2 linked regions of the Notamacropus eugenii genome follow. The protein of the gene in region 2 purifies or fractionates together with the protein of the main gene of each other region. This does not show direct contact. Links are inferred from orthologs where the notes say so. Each region holds a gene or a part of one and is shown on either strand. Other genes may lie near its edges. The genes, in order: TCTN3 and TCTN2.

What was found.
Region 1: the proteins of TCTN2 (region 2) and TCTN3 purify together in Homo sapiens (affinity purification with mass spectrometry; 3 studies listed by BioGRID and IntAct, with this or other methods). This does not show direct contact. The link is inferred for Notamacropus eugenii from reciprocal best matches to the Homo sapiens genes TCTN2 and TCTN3.

The regions. Positions count from the first base shown.
Region 1 is NC_092872.1:212,355,150-212,366,669, reverse strand, and holds the start of TCTN3 (tectonic-3), read left to right. Parts: upstream 1-5,898; 5' UTR 5,899-6,449; coding exon 6,450-7,042; intron 7,043-10,261; coding exon 10,262-10,380; intron 10,381-11,520.
Region 2 is NC_092875.1:38,953,850-38,965,523, reverse strand, and holds the start of TCTN2 (tectonic-2), read right to left. Parts: upstream 4,999-11,674; 5' UTR 4,840-4,998; coding exon 4,743-4,839; intron 3,079-4,742; coding exon 2,971-3,078; intron 2,676-2,970; coding exon 2,599-2,675; intron 368-2,598; coding exon 175-367; intron 1-174.

The sequences.
Region 1 (11,520 bases), on a different chromosome or scaffold from region 2:
GATTTTCAGATAAGTTGGATGGGCAGGGCCCCTATTCAGTGTGAGACAAAGACCAGCTCTCCCAGGGCTTCCACCCAGGGCTGAGGTAAGACTCAGCTCTTCAGTGCCCCCAGGGGGTTTTATGCTCCAACAATGGGGTGGTCTACAGGCTGCTGTGCAGCCTCTGTGGCTGCTGCCTGCTGCTGGAGCTATGGGAAGGCCCTTCTCCCTTCCTGGCCAGCTGAAAAACCCCATCACTGACCTTTGGCGCCTGTGGGTTGAGGGATCTGAGGACCCACTGCTGCGACTGGAGATTCCGCCCCCGAGGTGTCCTCCTCCCAGGGTCTTGTTGTGCCAGGTCACATGCAGCCAACGCTGGGCTGGGCTCTGCTCTGGGTCTGGTGGAACCAATGTTTCCCATGGGCCTTTCAGGTCACCCTGGGCTGGAAATCTCCTCCACTCTGTTGTTCTCCACTTCTGCTGCTCCAGAATTTGTTGAGAGTCCCTCTCTACAGGTATTTTGTGAGCTGTGTGGGGAGACCCTGCGTAAGTGTGTCTTTCTAGTCCACCATCTTGGCTCCGCCCTCCCCCCCCCGGATGTTCTCATAGACAAATTCAGATGATATTATAGAACATTGCTATGGGTCACTTAATATTATCATATTTTGCCATTTGTATTACTTCAATACTGCCAACATCTCCTAACTTAGCCAGGCTTAAAGTACATCAGAAACTATTCTTCAGTGACAGTATCCATGGAATAAACTGCCTACTGCAGAAACTATGCATTTTGAGGACCCCTATAGCTCAAAAGTTAATTTCTGGCAATGAGCACAAGAATGATTATGAGAATCCCAAGATTTCAGTGAACTTCAATTTTGTAATCTACCCTGACCTTTTACCCAGAGTAAAGCGTATCCAAAGATGGTCATAAATAGAAAAATATCTTTTCATTCAGTACCAGTGCTCCAGTGAGCAATATTATCATCAGCTTTATTAATAAGATTAACATATACATATATATGATCATGTCTAATATTGTTGATTTTTATGTTAATATCAGAAAGTCGCATTGAAGAGCTAGAGGCCTTACTTAACTAATCAGATGCTTTCAGCTACAAATGTTGCTCTAAAAGCCAGAAGTTCATGCAGTATGTGTGATATAGCAGAAATGATAGAAAAAAATTCCTAGAAAAAAATATTTATTTCAAGTATTAGTCACACTGTTGAAATGCTCACCCAACATTAATCATTTGTTATTCAGTAGAAAATAGACCATCATAGCAAATGCCCCCAAATTGCTTCATTTGCTTAGAACTGGTTAAAAACCAAATATTTAGAAAAATCAGCAAATGTGTATTTGTGTATGGGTAGGCCTTATTTAACATGTGCAACTTTGTCCTCTACTAATTATTTCCATAGGCACTACAGTTACTTGCATAAATAACAGCAAATAGCATCTGACAGATACTAAAATTAAGACTAAGTACAATATTGCAAAAAGCCTACTACTGGTACATGTGCTGGTGCACTGTTTGATGCACATAAAACCAATTCTAATCAAAGCCTTTTGGGGCACTGAATGGAATTTACTTTGCCTTTGTTGGTTCTCCCTCTAACCAGCACACCCTAACTTTTTGTTTATAGGTGATACTCCTTTAAAAAATCTTTTAACATTGATGGTAACGGGAGACCATCAGTCCCATCTTATGTAGTGCACCTACAGATTTCCATATGGCATGTACACTGTAAGAAAAGTCCTATTTAGTGATCTAGTAAGCAAGAATTCAAAAAACATGCAACAACTTGGAACTTCATAATGTTCTAGAAGCCCTGTTACGGTGGAATGAAACACTCAGGGATCAGGGACATTGAAGCTAAAATTGTACTCCCACTGCTTGTTGCATGTGTGTAGGCATTGGTTCTATAAAAGGAAGACATAGTCCTGTTGCTCAGAGTCCCTGAGTGAGAAAGTGCCTTTGGGCTTCCCTTGGAGGAGGGCTTCCTTTCATAAGGGTCCATCAGTCTCCAGGCCTATTCAATGAATGGGCATTACCTCACCCTAAGTGAGTACCTAATAGGCCTTGGCCTAAAGGGGACAAGGTCTCCCATTGCATCCTGGGCCTTCTCCAGTCATCTTGATGAATATCTGGTCACTGGATTCAGATGTGTCAGGAGGAGAAAGTAAGGCTGGTGACCTTACATAGCCCTCTGTCATTCAAATCAAAGTCAACTGCAAGTCATGTCATCATATCTCTGATGGTATGGTCTTCTTCAGCAATGAAGGACGAACACAACAACAAAAAGCAGGAAGAGACTTGGGTTTAACCCCAAGTCTAGTCACTATTTCTCTAAATGATCTTGAGCAATTCACTTCACTTCTATGGAATGCTGTTTCTTTATCTGTAAAATGAAAAGGCTTGACAAAGAAATCAAAGAGAATAGAAAAGATCTCATAAGTACAAAAATATTTATAACAATTCCTTTTATAGTGGCAAAGGATTTGAAAATCCAAGGGCATTTGTCAGCTGGACAATGGCTGAACGAATTATTTCATATCAATGTAATGGAATATCGTGTTGTGAGAAATGACGAGACTTTTCAGAGAAATCTCAGAAGAACTGGATGAACTAATGCAGAGTGAAGTGAGTAGAACCAGGAGAGCAACCTTCACTATAACAACAACAATGTAAAAATGAACAATTTTGAAAGAACGTTGATTAACTCAATGACCAGTCATGATTCAAGAGAATCACTAATGAAGAATACTAGATTAGAGAGATGACAGACTAAATATATAGAATGAGACACATTTTTTGGACATGGACAATATGAAAATGTGTTTTGCTTGACTATGCATATTTTTATGGGTTTTTTTTTCCTTTTTTCTTAGGGGGAGGAGGAAGGTGAGTAGAAAAAATGTTTTATAATTTTTCAAAATAAAAATGAAAGGGCTGAAGTGGATTTCTATAATGTCTCTGTCTGTTCTGGCAGTTTAGAAACCACAACTAACTCTAACACATACAACTATCCTCTCATTTAAGACACATATTTCCTCAGTATAGAACCAAGGCAAGGTGATCATAGATTTACTCCAGGGCACTGAAATTTTTAGGGTGTGCAATAACATTTGGACTTCTTTGGGAGCATAAAAACAAATATATTTAGCACCTAATTAGCAAGAACAATTGAGAAGCTACCTATTTTCCTCTTTACTACTATATTCCTTAATCTAAAACTTCCCTGCTCCCCAACATAACTTTCCCATGCAGCAACTCATTGTGGCAATTCATCATGTTGCCCTATTCCACCATACCCCCTTAAATGAAATTTTTTAAAAGGCATAATACTATCCTGGCTCCAGTGTAGATACATCCAGACAACCCTCTTTACAAAAGCTTAATTGAAGGGTGTGCTTCACGCAACTTGCCCTGAGTGACAAAATTGCTAGTTACAACCTTGTCTCAGCATTACAGGTTATTGTGCTATGATATTGTGGACTACTTCATACATGCTCTCCAGTGCTACATATAACTCTGTTTTTATGATGATATGTTCAGTTCAATGTCATTTCCACTTTTATTTCTACCACATGCTTGAAATGCTTCTTAGTCAATATGCTCTGATACATCACTTATATGCTAACACTGCATGTTTGTTTTTCAAGTCAGGACAACAAGCATTTATTTCACACTTACTATGTGACAGGCTCCATGTAGAGTACGACCTGCTTTTCAACCTTGTTTTGGTAAATATCATCAAGCCAGTCCTGTTTGCATTGTTTTATCTGCAGATGTCTTCTATAGCCTTCAATGCATTGCTAACATAGCTATTTTCACTAGAAGTCCCAAAACTGAGAATTCCAGAAGGATTATGGAGCTTTTAATTCTCTCATTGAAATACTAGGACGATTTGGATCCATTTTTTAAAAAAAATTGCAACTTACCAGGTGATCATTAACTTTGCATTAGATGTTTTGCATTGTTTTAATAATATGTTTTTGGTTCTTTTGATCAGCAATATTTATCAAATGGAGTTGATTATTCAGATAGTATGTCTGTGATTGTTTCCCTTTATTTTGTAGGGAGAATATGGTGGTGATGACCATGACCTAAGTTCCACTGAAAATGAATATGCTAATATAGATTAAGACCAAGTAAGACACAGGAAGGTAAAGTTTATTTTTGTTCACTTCCAAATCCTACTACATATGGTACCCTTCCCCCATGGTTTCCACATGCCTACTATGAGGATAAACTTTCTGGCTGCTGAATGGAGCAATGATAATAGTGATAAAACACTTCTCTTACAGATGTGTTCTGATGCATCTTGGAAATTTTGGAAGCATAGAGACCATATATCTGATTTCAAAATTGTAGTCTACTAGGTAATTATCTGAAGAAGGAAGAAAACCCTAAGAGAAAATAGCTTTACATGTTTCATGTTTTATTGTTCAAATCCTGCTCAATGTTTAGTTCTTAGATTTAGTGCCATGAAAGGAAGAGAAATTCCATTTAAACACTAGAATACAGCCTTCTTGAAAAGAGAGAGGCAAGTCTATCATCCTGAAGCTGGAGGCACAACCTGAGACTACTGGTACTATTGTAAGCAGTTACAAGTAGGAAAATTCAGAGAATGTGGCGTTTCTGAAATCAAGGGAGGAGAGGGTACAGTAGTAAGAACTGGTTCACAATATCAAATGCTGCAGAGAGGTCAAGGAAGTTGAATTGTGATAAAAAAGGACATTGGGTTCAGTGACTAGGAAGTCATTAGTGATCTAGTTTTAAAAGTATAGAGAAAATGGAAGATAGATTGCAAAGGGCAGAGAAGAGAGTGATCGGTAAGAAAGTGTTTTTCTAGTACAGACAATTAATCACATCTAATAGTATCTATATTGCTGCCTTGAAGAGATTAGACCTAATTATGCAAGACAGAAGTGGGTAACTCTCCCAACCTAATTCATTTGACCAGTGACTAGTTTTCTAAAATTAGGCATCCATTAATCCTGGCCTCTATCATTAGGATTAATAATAATAACTGACATTTATATGGAACATTTATAGTCAACAAATACACTTGTGCCCACATCTGAAAGTTCCCAATTGCCTAAGTGACTTACTCTGGAAAGATTCTCTCAGTTAAGTTTTAGTGGATCCTAAGTAGATATACATACTATAAGAGCTACAGGACTCAGAGTGGAAGGAATCTCAGAGACCATCTCTTCTAAAATGGTACCCACATCATGGATCTCCTGTACAACACTTTCCCACTAGTCATCCAGTCTAAATTTGAAGACCTACTGGTGACAAGTTTATTGCTCCCTAGTCTTCATTTAGAGAGTTCTAATTGTTGGAGGGAAGGTAGAAGTTTGGATAAAGGCTCATCAGGTTGGGATTGGGGTAGGTTTAGTTGGACCAGCAAGTAGAAGATATTGCAATCCGCTTAGGTGAAGAGTGCAGAGGGCTGCAGAGAGGGGAACCTGGGTAGTTAAAAGATGACTGTCTTTTTACCTCTCCTTCTCCCTCTTTATTTTCCTACTTACCTCTCAATTCTTTCCTTGCATCCAACCACTTTTCTCACCCAAAAGTACCTGTCCCTCCTCTTCTTTCCATCTTTTCTTCTTCTCTTTTCTTTTAACCAGCCAGCTATGGAACTGATGGTTTCAACTGACACCCTTTATTTATTGAGTGGACGCTTATGTTTTAATTTTAGCAGCTGGAGAGCTGGATTTTTTAAAGATTTTTCCTGTGGAATGTGGTTATGGGGGTGGCCCTTTTTTCCATGGGATGATTGACTTTTGAGCAAACTGGACTGAAGTGAAACCAAGATGCCCAGATGTCTTCAGCCTCATTCTCTCAGTCCAGTGGCAAGACCAGTACCAGCCTGGGATGCAGGGAATGTCCTTGGCACCTTCAGTATCCACAGTGACCTTCTTCAGGCTGCTGGAGCAAGTTGACCTCATCAGCCCATTCCTGGGAAACCCAAGCTTCCCAATACATTTGTATCCTCGGTGTCCAGCACACTACCTGGTAAGCAGCAGGTGCTTAATAAAAGCTTATGGACAGATTTCTCATTTTTTTAAAAAGTGGAACTTTCCACTCACTTCTCTTACAGATGTCTGTGACCATCAATTTGGTTTTTCTTCCTTCCTCCCCTCCTAAGTTTATGGCTCTAAAAAGTCAACGCTCTAGCTCAGGCGGGTCCCTTTCTCCTGGAAGTCGCTCCTCCTCCTCCTAAACGCCAGGGGGCACTGCAGCTTTCTAATGGAAGGTATTCCAGTCAGCATCGCAGTCTCACTGACCGGCCGCACAGGCCCATCTAGCGGAAGGGCTGCGTAACTGCACCGGCTCTCCGAGAACTCAGTAACCCGAACGTTGCCAGAGCAAAATCGCGGCGCGCAACCACCGCGATTTCTATTGGTGAGTGCTCTGCCAATAATCCCAAATCTCGAATAAGCGAGCGTCTACGGGATGAGGTCACACGTACTGCGTCTCCCGCCCTCCTCAAGCCCCGCCCCCCGCCGGTGCCATAGCAACCACGCGCCAGGCGACGGCGGGCCCTTCAGTTCTCGGGGCTGTGGAGGGCTTGGGGGCCGCAGACGCTTCATGGCCCCGGCGCCCCTCGAGCTGCTGGTGCTCCCCTGCTTCCTCCTGGCGGGGGGCGCCAGGGCCCAGACTGAACTCCCGCCCCGCGGAGGAGCTGTCTCCACGGCGGGAATAGAGCCTCCCGACGCCATGACGCCGGGGCTTCTCGTGGAGGAGACGACGCCGGGGGTCCTCCTGGAGGAGACGACGCCGGGGCTTCTCCCGGAGACGACGCTGGAGGTTTTCCTGGAGGAGACGACGCCGGGGATTTACCCCGAGTTCCTGGACTTGACCCCGGACCCTTTCGCCACGGAAGCTGTGGAAGATGGGCACCAGCTCTGGTCTCAGTTCCGCCTGGCCGGGGTCTGTACGTGTGACCTGACGCCGACCTCGTGCGATGTGAACTGCTGCTGTGACCGGGAGTGCTACGTGAGCGGGCCCAAGACGCTGTTCTCCTTCTGCCTCCCGGGGAGCTACCGGTGAGCGTGCGGGGGCTACGGGGGAGCGTGCGGGGGCTAGGGGGAGCGTGCGGGGGCTAGGGGGGAGCGTGCGGGGGCTAGGGGGGAGCGTGCGGGGGCCAGGGGGGAGCGTGCGGGCGCCAGGGGGGAGCGTGCGGGGGCTACGGGGGAGCGTGCGGGGGCTAGGGGGGAGCGTGCGGGGAGCTACGGGGGAGCGTGCGGGGAGCTACGGGGGAGCGTGCGGGGGCTACGGGGGAGCGTGCGGGGAGCTGGGGGGAGCGTGCGGGGGCTAGGGGGGAGCGTGCGGGGGCTACGGGGGAGCGTGCGGGGAGCTGGGGGGAGCGTGCGGGGGCTAGGGGGGAGCGTGCGGGGAGCTACGGGGAACTAGGGGGGAGCGTGCGGGGGCTAGGGGGGAGCGTGCGGGGAGCTGGGGGGAGCGTGCGGGGGCTAGGGGGGAGCGTGCGGGGAGCGTGCGGGGAGCTACGGGGGAGCGTGCGGGGGCTAGGGGGGAGCGTGCGGGGAGCTACGGGGAACTAGGGGGGAGCGTGCGGGGGCTAGGGGGGAGCGTGCGGGGAGCTACGGGGGAGCGTGCGGGGGCTAGGGGGGAGCGTGCGGGGAGCTACGGGGGAGCGTGCGGGGGCTAGGGGGGAGCGTGCGGGGGCCAGGGGGGAGCGTGCGGGCGCCAGGGGGGAGCGTGCGGGGGCTAGGGGGGAGCGTGTGGGGGCTACGGGGGAGCGTGCGGGGAGCTGGGGGGAGCGTGCGGGGGCTACGGGGGAGCGTGCGGGGAGCTACGGGGAACTAGGGGGGAGCGTGCGGGGAGCTACGGGGGAGCGTGCGGGGGCTACGGGGGAGCTGGGGGGAGCGTGCGGGGGCTACGGGGGAGCGTGCGGGGAGCTACGGGGAACTAGGGGGGAGCGTGCGGGGAGCTACGGGGGAGCGTGCGGGGGCTACGGGGGAGCGTGCGGGGAGCTGGGGGGAGCGTGCGGGGGCCAGGGGGGAGCGTGCGGGGGCCAGGGGGAGCGTGCGGGCGCCGGGGGGGAGCGTGCGGGGGCCGGGGGGGAGCGTGCGGGCGCCGGGGGGGAGCGTGCGGGGAGCTACGGGGGAGCGTGCGGGGGCTAGGGGGGAGCGTGCGGGGGCTAGCGGGGAGCGTGCGGGCGCCGCGCCGCCTCGGAGTCCGCCAAGAGGGGCGAAGGAGGCCCGACCCGGGCGCCCAGCGCTGGGCCTGGCCCACGTAGGTGATGAACAGAGCCGGGTCACAGGGAGTACTGATCCGCCGCGGCTTCACTTGCCGGCGTGGTCCTGATGGCCGGTGCTTTGAGGACGCGTGTGTAGACAGACCTGCTGCCGGGAAGCAGCCCCGCCACCTGTGTGAGTTGGAGCTGGAAGCCCTACCCACCGCGCCTGGCATGGTCAGCCGTCCCGCCTCCGAAATGAGGCACCAGAGGGCCTCTGGTTAAAGCTTCCTGACGTGGCTCTGTTTTCTCGCCACCTCTCCTTTTCCTCATGCCTTTATGGTCTTCACTTCTGCCCCCGTGCTGTTGAAGCTGTTCTCTTAGAGATCACCACGTTGCCATATACAGTGATTGTTTTTCATGTCTTATTCCGACCATCCCTTGCTATTGGAAGATCTTTCCTCCCTTGGTTTTAGACATGCATCACTCAATAAATATTAAGCACCTACTCTGTACTGTGTACATTAGCGCAAAAAGTTAAACAGTCCCTAGTCATAAGATGTTTCCTTTTTAATGGGAGAGGTAAGTTCACGTAAAAATATATACAGCATAAATAAATGTGTGTGTGTATAGGCAAAGTAATTTAATACAAAGGAGTGTAGAAGTTGGAGATATCAGGAAGAAAGGCTTTATGCAGATGGTGCCACAGTTATATTTTAAAGGAAGAGAAAGACTGGTGGAGGGAGGTAGAAAGGGAGAACATTCCAGACCCAAAGTGTGAGTGAGGAGCAGAGAGTGGGCGTGTAAGAAGGGAAGTTATAGCCACTGAGACTTAAAAGGTAGGTTGGAGCCAGATTGTGTAAGTCTTTAAAAAGACTGAAGAGTTTATATTATATTGTAGAGGCAATTGGAAGCCATTGGAGTTGGTGAGTAGGTGAGTCAGGTGGTTGGTGATACTTGGGGCTAAGGAAATCACTTTGGCAGCAGAGTACTAGAAGACCATTTAGGAGACCTTGCCATTATCTAGGGGAGGCAATGAGCACCTGAACTAAAGTGTTGGGATGTTGAGAGGGTAGAAATAATCAGATTTGGCCACTGATTAGGTATGTGGGGTGGAGTTGAGTAAGGAGTCCAGGATGATAGCAAAGTGATGGACCTGGGACACTGACACATCATGCTCTTAGGGTTCTCCTGCCTCTCAAATGACTTTCTATGTCTCCTTTGTTGATTCCTGTCTTCTTTCCATCTTGGCTACATCCCAAGGTTGTTATCATGGTCTTCTCTTATCTCTTTTCACCCTCTCCCTTGGCATCTCATTCGGTTCCATGGCTTCAACTGCCACCTTTATGAGGATGATTCCCAAATATTTATCTTTTCTGAGATCTAGGCTCACATTTCCCTTGGCCTACATTCATCCAAATGTGTGAATGTTACCTGACTTCATTATGATTCTAACTGTGGTACCATCGTTCACCCAGCCTTCCTTGTTCATGCTTCATGTAAGACTTGGGAATGTTCTGAGGATGTACTTCTCACACTTACATTGTTGTAATTATTGTATGTATTATTTTCCTGGCTCTGCAAAGGTCATTCTGCATCCTCTAAATGTTACAATGCTTCTCTTATTTATCATTTTTTACAGTACAGTTATACTGCATTACATTCATGCACCACAATTTATTTAGTCAGTGATCTGTGTAATGTCCTCCCAGCTGACAGTGATGCCTCAAATTTTTCATCTGAGTCTTGCTCTATTATATTCCACCTTCTATCTCATACTTGTTTACGTCAGCTCTTTTCCCAACTTGTCTAATAGATTGTAAGCACAGCTATGTTTTTTACCTTTATATTCCCAGCATCAGAAGATAAAAGGTACTAAAGCAGTGTGTTTGAAAATTAATTTAAACATGAGATTTGTGCTATTTTTATCTTGTTAGATGTGTTTGCTTTGAAATTTTAGAATTCTGTACAGATACTTAGAATACAGTTTTCCTCTTAGTTATGAAGATTACTGCCTTGAAGTGGAATAATCTACTTTAAAGTTTCACACTCTTTTATGTCTTCGCAGGGCAATAGAATGGAAATGTGTAGACTCTACCGTTATTTTCCAAAGCAATGCCCCATTTTATTCAAGTATTTTGGAGATGCCAGATGAGGGTCAACAATTTTGTGTTCAGCTGAGAAACCGTGAGTTGAAAACATTCTCTTCTTACTTTGTAACGCATATGGGTGCTGGAATTATTTCTGACTGACTTTTGGATTGCTTCCTGTTTAAAAAAAAAATTCTCTGTATTATCCACCCTTTTTCTCAGCAAACTAACCTTTTATCTTCTCTCTCTTCTTCTCCTGCCCCAACATTTATTTCCCATGCGTCAAGAGTCTTGATAAATAGTTTAAAACTTTTAAGATCTTTAACTGACGCTGGAGGCACATTTAACTGTTTTAATGAATCTTCCATTAGCTATATAACCACAAGAAGATCTGTGCAAAAATGAAATGATTGTGTAACTGAATCTGAGACAATGTTGTATTTATTTATTGCATGTAAATGTTACAGTTAGACCATGCATTTGTCTTTGCAGTATACTGTCATAATTTTAAAATACAGTATACAAAATTAACAGAACTTATGAAATTTCTCAACAAAGCAAAAGTACAGCAGTACTTACATATCTATTTTACACGTTCAAGATCAGTAGATTTTGGCAGAAAGGAGTGAAGTTTTAGAAGTTTTGCTGATACCTTATCTTTAACACCCTGTTTAGTTCCCTGTTGAATGGGGAGCCCTTCCATCAGTTGTTTGAAACTTGGGTTTATTAAATACTGTGCTACATATTTGATTCCTTCTGGGTTTGGCTTATCTGTCTCTTCGACCTACCTTAAGTTAAATATTTCTTCAAAGTAGTCTTCAAGATTTTTGAGAGCTCAGAAAAGGCATGTGAAATAGCATTTTGCAGGAACTTGAAAGCATGGACTGAGGAATAGGGGAGGAAGGTGCCAGGTTCAAAAGCAACCTGGAATACTAGTCAGAGACTAGACTTTGAAACCTCTATTCATATCCCACTTCAAAGAGTGGAGAGTTGTGTGGTCATGGGAATGTTACTTCATTCTCTGAACATTAGCTCCTCTACGTGTAAATAATAATCCTCGTAATATCTACCTCTCAAGTTTATTTTGCAAATATGATATGGATGAAAGGGACTTGTAAACCTTAGAATGATATATGTAGATATATTTCAACTATCATAATTGTTTATAGTAATAAACTGAAGAAGCATTAGAACTAAAATAGTAACTTGAAATGGAGGCTGTGTATTATATTCATTT
Region 2 (11,674 bases):
GCCTGGGCTCTATCCTCAGGCGCACATGAAAAACTGGTTGATTTTCTAATGGGATCTTGTGTGAGTCTTGCAAACTTGGCTTGTTTTTTTAAAATTCACAAAGCAAATAACCAATAAAATATGATGCTGGGAAAGCTTTCCCTGGTGCTTTGGGCACATGATTGAAATACTTACCTGATGCATTCTGGGCAAAGGAAGCATTAGGGTAGATTTCGACCTGAATGAGTAGGTGCGCCAAACAGAATGAGTTGCGAGATGCAGAAACCACAAGACTTTCAACAACACAGGGATAGTCAGAGAAGAAATCTGTCTCTGAGACACAGGCCTGTAAATCACCATTCAATCTTACGGTCACTTCTGAGCCCATCTGGGGAAAAAATCCTTGCTTTAGTTCTCATCTTACTGTGAAAATACATTTATAATCACAAACATCCCACGCATTAAGGATGCCCCTGCTGATTTTACTGGCATGTTTGTTTCTTCCCTCCACCAATAGAGAGGACCACCTGGATTTAATCACTAAGGCCTAAGAAACTGCTCATTGCTCAGAAACCTAACTGACTTGCCCAGGGCAAGACTGGCCTCTAACACTCTGGTCAGTGACTTTCCTAGGACCCCAGGCAATCTTAGTTTATACATAACTATCCCCATTTTTAGAGATAAGGAAAGAGGCTTCAAATCACCCAGACACTAAGCACCAAAGCTAAGACTCAAGTCCTGCCCTTTGGTAACGTCCCTGGGTCTCAGTTCCTTCATCTGAAAAATGGGAAAGTGGGACTTACTGGTGTCAGAGGTCCCTTCCAGCCCTCAATCTGATGGTCCACATGACCCTAGGACCTCCCTGACTTCATGCCCAGCCGTCCTCTACACTTGGCCATGCTGAAATCCTCAAGATGAAGCCATCATGGGCCAATGCCCAAAGCGAGGTACCTCACAGACCCACCTCCCCACCACCTCTCCCAGTACTCCACATCTTCATTGTCCTGGGCTTAGGCCAGAAATGAAGTGGGAAGAGCTGAGGATCTCAAACTCTTTTATAGCTTTAAAATTCTATAACTGACAGCACAGGCCTTTATCCTAGAAGGGACTCTAGGGATTGATCATCTAACTCAACCCACCTGTTTTACAGATAAGGAAGCTAAGGCTCCAAGCAGTGACATGACTTGCCCAAGGTCACACAGGTAATTTTGGCAAGAGTGGGCAGCACCAGGATTATCCCCATTTTCAAAGGGAGGAAAAAGGCTCCCAGTCACTTAGATACTGACTCCTGGAACTGAGACCTGTGCCAGATGACAGGTCTACATTCTCCCCACTGTGCCACAATGGCATATGCCATGTCTGGCCTCGCATTTAGCCCTCCTTCCATGACACCTGGATCTTCACAGCAAACCTCACTGTCCCAGGACCACAGATCTAGGTCTGGAAGGACCTTCAGAGGCTATCCACAGAGATCAATCCCCTCATTTTACAGAGGACACTGAGTCCCAGGAAGGGGGAAAGGGACTTGTGGAAGGTCACACAGGGAGTGATTCAAACTCAGGTCTTGCGAGTTCAAGTTCACCATTCTCCCTCTTGTACCCACTTCCCACCCATGGCCAGATCCTAGAAGGAGACAATAAAAGAAGAACAAAACTGAGATCTCCATGAAGAATGAACAAGCAACAGTCTGTCACAACAGCTTGGTATCTTGGAGAGTCCTGGGTTCAAATTCTACCTCAGACATTCACTGACTGGGACTAAAAGACAATCCCTCAATTTTTTTGAACCTCAGCTGCTTTGTCTGCAAAATGGGGATACTAATCCCTGTAGAACATGTATTCCAGGCTCATCTGAAGAAGGCTGAATGAGAGGCTCTAGAGAAGCCTGACTTGTAACACCCATTTTAACTGAACTAGTGAGTCTTTTCACTCAACAAACATTAACTAGCAACAAAGCACCAGGTACCGAGGCTGGGAAACATTTCTTGCCCTTAGGGAGGCTGCAATCTACTGGGGGTAAGGAGGAGATCAGAAAGTAAAAGCCAAGCACAAAGTAAATGCAGAGTAATCTGGGGAGGAGCTGGATGGTAGGAACTTGCTGGAGGGCTCCACTGAGGAGGTGGTACTTGGGCTCTGCCTAAAGGAAGCTAAGGAACCTGGGAGAGGGAGGGGAGGTAGGAGCACTTTCCAGGTCGGGGGCTCATGTCTTAGCTGAGAAGAGGAAGGAGGCCAGGCTGGAGCAAAGCAGAGTAAGTAAAGAGAAGTCAGGGACAATAAGCCAGAGCACAAAGGTAGCAGAGGAGTCTGGAGTTTATCCCAGAGGCAACAGGGAGCCTTGGAGCTTGCTGAGGAGGGGGTGACAGATATGACCCTAAATGGAAAACGAAGGGCGGCAGGTGGTGCACTGGATAGAGCTCCATCCTGAAGTCACCTCAGACACAGCCTAGCTGGACCAGTCCCTTCACCCTGTTTGCCTCAGTATCCTCAGCTGTCAAATGAGCTGGAGAAGGAAATGGTAAAGTACTCCAGTATCTCTGCCACGAAAACCCACAGAGAGTCTGAAACAACTGAAACAATCGAATAACAAATAGAAAACGAAGAGATTTAACATTGAACATACCATATCGGGAGTCACGGTCAGACTCCAGTTACTGGTCCCATTATTCTGCAGTCCACAATCAGGAATGGGCAAAATCCCTAAACAAGAGGAGGTAAGACCAGAGAATGTTCTCATTCTACCTTTACGCCCTCAGAAGGTTTAAGGACGTTCTCCTCAGAGAGCATAACCTTGCCTTGCAGCTGTCTCTGAAGCAGAAAGCAGCCCCCTTCCCCTTTGCCCATTCTCCAGACTGCCAATTCTGGAAGTCACAGGATCAGACCTTGGAGAGCCAAAGGCTGAGGGAGTATTCCCCTTCCCCCAAGGGCAGACTGGGCCCGAAGCCCTCTGTGTTTTCAGTAGGTTTTCCCAAAGCCAGCTGCTTAGCCTCCTTACCCAGCTCACCATCCCACACAGCGAGGCTCACACTGACATCCTCAGTATCTCCAACCAAGGCTGCACTAACCGAAGTATCAAACATTCGAATGAAAGGAGGGAGAAAAACTGGCAAAGAGAAGAGTCAGGCGTTAATACCACTCATGTAAGGACCATGAGGAACCCCTGAAAATGAGACTTAGAGCTTTATGGAACATGAGAATCAAGCAACCCCTCCTAAGCATGTGCATGCAGGACTGCAGGGTTAGGGTCAATAAATAACAAACATTTATTAAGCGCCTATTGTGGGCCAGGGACTGGACTGAGAGGAGGGGGGGATACAAAGAAAGGCAAAAAACAGTGCCTGACCTCAAGGAGCTCAATCTAATGGGTAAAACAAGAGCAAACTACTCTACCATATAAGATACAGATGAACAGATGAGAAGGAATCTCAGAGGGGAGTCCCAGGAGGCAGGCACTGGGGGACGGTCACTGTAGGTTGTGGCGATTTTCCTTTGCTCCAATGCTGGCAGCAGAGGTGGCCCCTTGCTGGGAATAGCCTAGTCCTGGGACTTTACTCCCTTTCCCACATCTAGTCTCTGCAAGCTACAAGGATCTCCTCAGGATCCCATAGCCAGGAAATGTGTGAGCAGGATTTGAACACATATCTTCAGGGAATCCTAGATCTGGAGCTGGAATGGACAGTAGGAGCTATCTAATCCAGCCTCCTCAATCAAGAGTGGAGGAAACCCGAGGCCCAGGGAAGTTAAATGATTTGCCCAGACTCATAGAGGGAACAACATCGCAGGTGGATGTGGACCTGGGTCCTTGAGACTCTAGAGCAGTGATTCTTTACTTGGACTCTGTGAATTGGCCTCTTTAATAGATTGGTAATTATTTCAATATAATTAGTTTCCTTTGCAATCCTACGTATCTTATTCCATGCATTTAAAAACATGGTTGTGCCAAAGAAGTCTGGGGCAGAGAGGTGGTTAAAACCCCTGCTCTGAGCTGGCATTCTTTTCACCAGACTCCGTATGGCTCACTCTCGGGACATGAGGTTGCCCATTGCCTGGTACGGACAGTCAGTCACCCAGGCACTCTTATTCCAAAACTAAAAAAGGCTTCAGCAGGTGCAGCTGTGGTAGCTGCTACAAAAGCCTAGTTCGAAAGTTAGCAGTTATTTAGCACTTTTTATGTTACCTCATTTTAATAATAATGATACCTGGCCTACGTGCAGTGCTTTAAGGTTTGCAAAGCACTTTACAAATAATCCCTCCAGGTTAATAATCCTTATTATCATTAGTAAGAGCTAGCAATATATAGTGAGCAGTTCTATAGGTTGGCAAAACGCTCTACAAATATTATCTCTAAAGAATAATAACAGCTAGCATTTATACAACGTCTTAAAGTTCGTAAAATGTGTTAAGATATCTCATTTTAATAATAGCTAACATTTTTATAGAACTTTAAGGTATTGCAAAGAGCTTTAAAAATATCTCTTAAAATAACTGTTGTTGAGACATTTTCAGTTATATCCAACTCTTTGTGACCCCATGTTTTCTTGGCAGAAATACTGGAACGGGCTGCCATTTCCTCTCTAGCTCATTTTACAGATGGGGAAACTGAGGCAAAGAGGGCGAAGTGACTTGCCCAGGGTCACACAGCACAGAGCTGGTCTGAGTAGGGATTCGAGCGCCCCCTCCCCCGCCCACAGCCCCGCCCACAGCCCCGCCCACAGCCCGCCCATAGCACAGGCCCCGCCCCCTGCCCGAAGCTCCGCCCCTACCCACCAACGTCTCCCCACAGGGCCCTTGGGAAGCAGAGAGGGAACAGGAGCAAGAGCCAAAGCTGCGGGGCCGATGGCGGGCAGGGCCCGGCCGGGCCCATGGCTCCCGGCTCGCCTCCCCGCGCTGCCCCACCGATGCCAGGGCCTGGCTCTGCGATCCCCGGCAGGCGGCACGAGCTAGGGGCGCAAAGGAAAAGGCGTCAGCCGCGCCCGGCCAGCCGCCGCTGCCATCTTGTCAACGGAATGCCCAGGACTAGGCAACCGCCAATCAGCTGCAAGCGAAGAGAGCGCGCCCCACGATTGGTCTAAAGCGACGGAAAGGACCCGCCTTCCTTCCCCGCCCATTAGCGTCACCTCGCGGCCCCGCCCACCTCCTCCTGGGAAGCCCTAAGTGGGTTGCATAGGAGCTTGGTGGACGGAGCTCTTGGCAAATATGCATACTTATGTGTCTTCTATATATAGTTATATTTTAAACTATATTGATATGTCACATATGATTTATATGTATATTTATATAGAATAAATATCTATTCATATGTATGTATATGATATATATGACAACGTATAACAAATATAAACAAGTAAAAATAATAAAAATGAGATATTCGTAAAGATGAGATAAAAAGATAACGACTTGCAACAACGCACGCGTTTGAAAAAAACTGTAAAAAAAGTTGTATAAATGCTTACTCCCTCTCTCAGAATCCCTGGTGCTTAACAGGTTCTTGTCTCCATAGTCAACAATTCAGCTGACTTTTTATTATAATAAAGGATAATGAACCTGTGATTTTATTGATAGAGAGAAGTCCCAGGTGAGGAGATCCCTCGCTACTTCTCCACAATGTATAGTCTTGTTGAGTTGCTTAGAATACAGAGAAGTTAAATGACTTGGTCAGGGTTATACAGTCTGCACATGTCATTGGCAGGTTTTGAACCCAGCTCGAAGACCAGTTCTTTTTCCTCTATGCCACTTATTACAATACAGAGCCTAATAATGCCTTGTATTTAGGCAAGTCAATATGTATTTGTTAAGCACCTACTATGTGCTTAATTGCGCTAAGTGCTTCAGATATAAGAATTTATCAATAAACCCCTATGAGCTGTAAATTATGATTATGTAAGGCCTTAGGTTGGGAGCTGCTCATTTCTTTCAATATTAGCCAAAGGCATGACATGTCTTAGTTATTACATCAGAATGTAACTCTTCTTTGCCCAACTGTTGCTTCATTCGGTTAGAGGAGGCATTGGGAGATACAGTCTTTAAGACAAGTTATGGGTAGCCATGTTTGGCTCCACCCATCCCCACCACTCTCTTTACTCTCTCATAAGGAGCCCCTCATTCTTGGACATGGTCAAAACTCGAGAGCTAAGTTACAGTCAAAACCCAACAAAAGGAGGAATTCCTATAAATCTGGGTGACACCCACCCAGAGTAGATTTTTCTTTTCCCTCTAAACACATTGGTTGGTAAGAGGAATTTGGCCTGTGATTGCTCTAGGATTAAAAGTGTTTGGCTTGACCTCTTATGATTGAGGCAACTGTGAGCTCCAATGGGGGGGCATTCTCCAACCAAAGTCAACCAAGCAGGAACTAGGTACTCTCTCAATGCTCATCATTTGCTCAGCCAGCTGTGACAGCCTGCACAGGGCTAGGAGGGCTTTAGTAACACCAAGAAAGACTGGAATCCTAGGAATAAATCTAGAATCGACAATGGATGCCAAGCCAGGGATCCCTGCCTCTTTTTTATACAGAAATGTCCCTTTCTACTCCCTTTATCTTTCTGACCTGATGGCAGCATCAAAGGCAGTAGCCAACACTTTTCTCAAGAAACAGAAAACTCTTCTCTGGGTAAGATGGATACAGAGATTGGGGTATTAAGACTGACCCAAGAGGACCAATATAGTTTATGGTGCAAGTCTCGAAAATACAAAGAAGGAGGCAAAATCTTAAAAAAAACTTTTAGAGGGAGGACTGGACTATGATGTCACTGATATTGGAACTCCCACTAACAAAATTCCCTCTCCCATATAGTCTTAGAGAGTTGCCTAGACTACTGAGAAATTAAATGACTCAGGGTCATATAACTGGTATGTCACTTGGAGTTGTATGTCACATACAGTTGTATGGCACCAAAGCAAGTTGCCTGGAGTCATGGAGCCAGTAAGGTCTTTCTGTCTCCAAGGCTGACTCTCTCTACCATCTCTATGCTACCCTTCAAAACTCCTTTAGCAATCAATCAATCAACATGTACTAAGCACCTACTATGTGCCAGGAACTGTGCTAAGCACAGGATACAAAGAGGCAAAAGAAAATCCTTGTCCTCAAGCTTACAATCTAATGCAGTTTTTTAAATAGATTTTTTAATGAAGTCTTTGCATATACCTATATCCAGGAATCCTCCTGTATTCCTTCCCCTTGTCTTTCCCAGAGAGCCATCCCTTGGAGAATTTTTAAGACAAGGAAAAAAAGGAAAAGAAAAATAAGCAAAACTGGTACATTGAAAAAAATCCGAGGTTATATGCAATATTCCAAACCCATGGACCCCCACCTCTGCTGGGGTGAAGGGAAAAGATTGTCATCTCTTCTGTCCTCTTTGGAGCCAAGAATTACAAAATTCTTTGTAATTTTGCAATATTCTGTCTCAATTGTTTTCTGGATATTATCCTTTCCATTTACAATGTTGTAGTTTTCTGGCTCTTTTACAGTTTACAGAATTTCATGTTGTTTATTTCATCACACATACATCCTTTCATGTCTTCCTATGCTTCTCCGTATTCATATTGTCATTCCTTACATGTTATATCATGTAATAATAATCATATTATATTCATGTACCGGGTACCAGTCCCCACCAATGGGTGTCTACTTTGTTTCCAGTCTATGCTGTGAACAAAAAGGGATGCTAGAAATATTTTGCTGTGTATGGACCCTTTCTTTTCATCAATGACTTACTTTCTTGGGTCTGTGACTAGCAGTGGAATCTCAGGATCAAAGAAAATAGTTTTTAGTCACTTTATTTGCATAATTCTACATGGTTTTCCAAGATGTTTATGCCAATTAACAGGTCCACCAACAATGTCAGTGTGCCTGTCTTCTGTAACACCAGTGATGTTGTTTTCTATTCACATCTATCCATCTTTGGGTGGAAGATGAAACTTCAGGGTTGTTTTGATTTTCATTTCTCTTATTGGTGATCTGGGGCATCCTTTTATCTGCTTTCTAGTAGTCTGTAATTCTTCTTTTGAGAACGGCTTTGTTTGAAGAATATGTTTCCATATCCTTTGACCACTTTTCTATTGGGGAATGCTTTAACAATTTAAATTTGTCTCTATGAGACAGTGTGTTTCATGACTAGAGTCCTGAAGCTAGAGGCAGGAAAATCTAGGCTCAATAACTAGAATTGTGTTAGTTGTATGACTATGGGCATACCACTTACTCTCTCAGAAGCCTGACTCCCCAACTGTCAACCAGGAATAAAAATTCTTACCTCACAGCTTTATAATGAGGCTCAAATGAGTAACTAATAACCCCAGAGTTTGTCAAATGTGCTCTGGGTTTGGGGGCTATGACAAAAAATGAAAGTGTCTGCCCTCAAGTAGCTTAACATTCTGTTGAGGGGAGACAAAAAATGTGTAAATACAAACGTCAGCTTTCACGTGCTGGTCCCCAAAAGGTAAAGTCTTTCAATGATCAATTAGTTTTCTAATTTATACAATGGATCTGCGTATGTTAAACACTCTTCCTTCTTCAGCTATGCATGCATGACCTATAGTGCAGTTGTCCCAAGTTTTACAACAATTCAGTACAGTAAATAAAACATGGGCTTAGCATTTCAGTTACTGGGTACATGATAATGATAACAGTAATGTCAAAATCATAACTAGCATTTATATAGCTCATTTGTACAAAGAGGTCGCAATAGTACTTATCAGGGTTGTGGTGAGGATAAAATTATATATATATATATACGTGTGTGTGTGTGTCTATATATGTGTATATACATACATACATACAATAAAGAGAGAGCACACTTTACAAACCTTAAAGCTATATAAATGCTATTATTTTTATTATTGGAATCCATTCTAGGTCTGGGGGACAAGCCTATGCAAAGGCACAGAAACAGGTGATGAAACGTGGTCTCATCCTTCTCAAAGCAATATTAACCATTTTGGAGTTCATGGATGAAGATTTATCCTGCTCAGTAAATTAAGTGAAATAGGTTTTTATCTTAATGTTATATTTCTTGCCCCAGTAAACTAATACACAACTGTGTGCTTAAACAATCCAGATAAGGGATACTTCCAGCCTTGAAGGAATGTACTCTAATAGGAAGGGAGCAAGCTAGAGGCATCGAGGTGGTAAGCCTGGAGTTGGGAAGACCCACGTTCAAATGTAGCCTCATATACCTACTAGTTGTGTGACCCTGAGCAAGTTATTTAACCTGTTTGCATTTCCTCATCTCTAATAGGGAGATCATAATAGCACCTACCTCCCAAGGTTGCTGTGATGGTTAAATGAGATAAAATATTATAAAGCACTTAGTATGGTGCCTGACACAAACTGGGGACTTTATAAGCGTGTTTCTTTTCTTCCTAGTAGAGAGTCTATAACATATGGATACATGATTATACTGTATGACAACTACATTATAAAAGCAGGAAACAAGGTGCTTTGTGAGATGCTAGGATGTTGAGGGCATGGGTAAAGAATGGGGAAAGATGTTGACTGAAGAGATCCGGAAAGTTTCATGGAAGAAATGATCTGTTAGGCTGTAAAAGATGGGCAAAAAGGCATTCCTGGCAAAGGTAACTCTGCAAGGGGTGTGGGGGGGGGAGCTTTCCTTCCTCTGTGCACAGGGTGGGTTCAGTGTCTACCTTGACTGACAGGCACAGGGAAGAAATAGTAGATGAGGCTAGAAAGGGAGGGTGGCACCATATTGTTAAAGTCCTTGAATGTCAAGCAAAAGAGTTTGAAATGTACATGGGAGCCAATGGAGAACCACTAAGGGTTTCAGAGCAGATAGTAAGGATGATTAGAAAGGTTCATCTGGCCATAGTCAGAAAGATGAATCATGGAAAAGACAGAATGAAGACAAGACTTGTTAGAAGGCTATATACCATAAGAGGCCCTTAATAGCATGGTGAAGTGGATAGACTGCTGACCCTGGAGTCAGGAGGATCTGAGTTCAAATCATTTAGTCTCAGATACTTACTAGCTGGGTGACCCTGAGCAAGTCACTTGTTTGCCTCAGTTTCCTCATCTGTAAAATGAGCTGGAGAAGGAAATGGCAAAGAAAACCCCAAAATGGGATCATGGAAGACTCCGATGTGGCTAATCAACAAAAGAGTTGTTGATTACAAAGCACCAGTGAAAAGAGAGAAATGGGTGGATGCAGTGGAATTAACAGGACTTGATGGCCAAATGATTTGTGAAATGAGGAAAAAGGAAGACTCAAAGATATTACTAGGGTTTTGAATCTGGGAGTCCAGGGGATTGTAATGTGACTTACAGAAACAGTAAAATCGAGAGGAGGAACGTATTTTGGGGAAAGGAGAAGCAGCTCCATTTTGCTCAGTTTTAAGATGCTGAAGGGACATCCAAGTGGAGATACCCTCGAGGAAGCTGGAGATGCATGTCTGGATTTCTTAAGAAAGGACTGGAGGTACAGGTTAGAAGCATCTATGCTTCCATGATGGGTGAGGATGTAGAGGAGAAAATTTGCACAGAAGCGTGAACTATCAAGATGGTGGCCCTAAAGTCAAGGAAAAAGGGAATCCACAAAGCTGAAGGTTGTCAGCAGTACCAAATACCATAGAGAAATCCAAGAGAACGAGGGACTTTAAAAAATGCCAACGGATTTTGTGACTAGGTCGTGGGTAAGCGCATTTTCAGTAGTAGAAGACATGAAAGTCACATTTCAAGATGCTGAGAAAAGGGACTGATCATTCTTCCAAAGCTAAGAGAACTTTAAATACCTGGCCAATGGCAGCTTAGAAACCCCACTGAATAACTCTTCCCAAATAGATTAAGTTTCTTTCTTATCAGCATTATTTATCACTGTGTGTTTTCCACAAAGCACAATTATCCCTTCCATATTGTGGGAGTAGGGGAGTGGCATCTCAGTCTGGAAAATTCTTGTAAAATTCTTTGGCCCTTCCTTTGTACTAGAGATGAAATTTAACTTTTTTCTCTTATAGAGTGTTTACTGTGTCTCATTGTAAGATTTGGATTGATATTATACATCTATTTTATACACTTCTGAATTTCTAAACTTTTTCTGTATCATCTGCTGGCCTTTGAGAGCTATCTGCAGCTTCTACAAAACTCCCCCAAAATTCTCATTTAACTTCTTATGCCAATCCACGATATATCCAAAATGTGATAGGGAAGGTCTCAATGTGGAAGGGATAACTGGAAATCTTGCTTGCTAGGTGATCTGATGATAGAAAACCAATTTCTATGGGTTTCACCGTCTAGAGCAAGGGTGGGGAACCTATGGCCTTGAGGCCACATGTGGCCTTCTAGGTCCTCAAGTGTGGCCCTCTGACTGAATCCAAACTTCACGGAACAAATCCCCATAATAAAAGGATTTATTGTGTAAAACTTGGACTCAGTCAAAAGGCTGCACCTGAGGACCTAGAAGGCCATATGTGACCTGAGGCCACAGATTCCCCAACTCTGGTCTAGAGGCTCCTATAAGCAATTAATTATATTTTTTTTAAATGCTTCTAGACACTGAAGAGACTAGAGAATCAAAGATTGACCAGACTACAACAAATGAATGAGGAGAAAAGGCAATTTGCTCTCCTAATGAAAAGAAAGTTAGTTTTGCAAATCAGCAAAGTCAGGTTCATGTCTTCCTGGAGCTGAGATAAACCAGAAATCTTTCTCTAGTACTAGAACTCTCATTTCTGGAAAGAACAGCCTAAAAAGT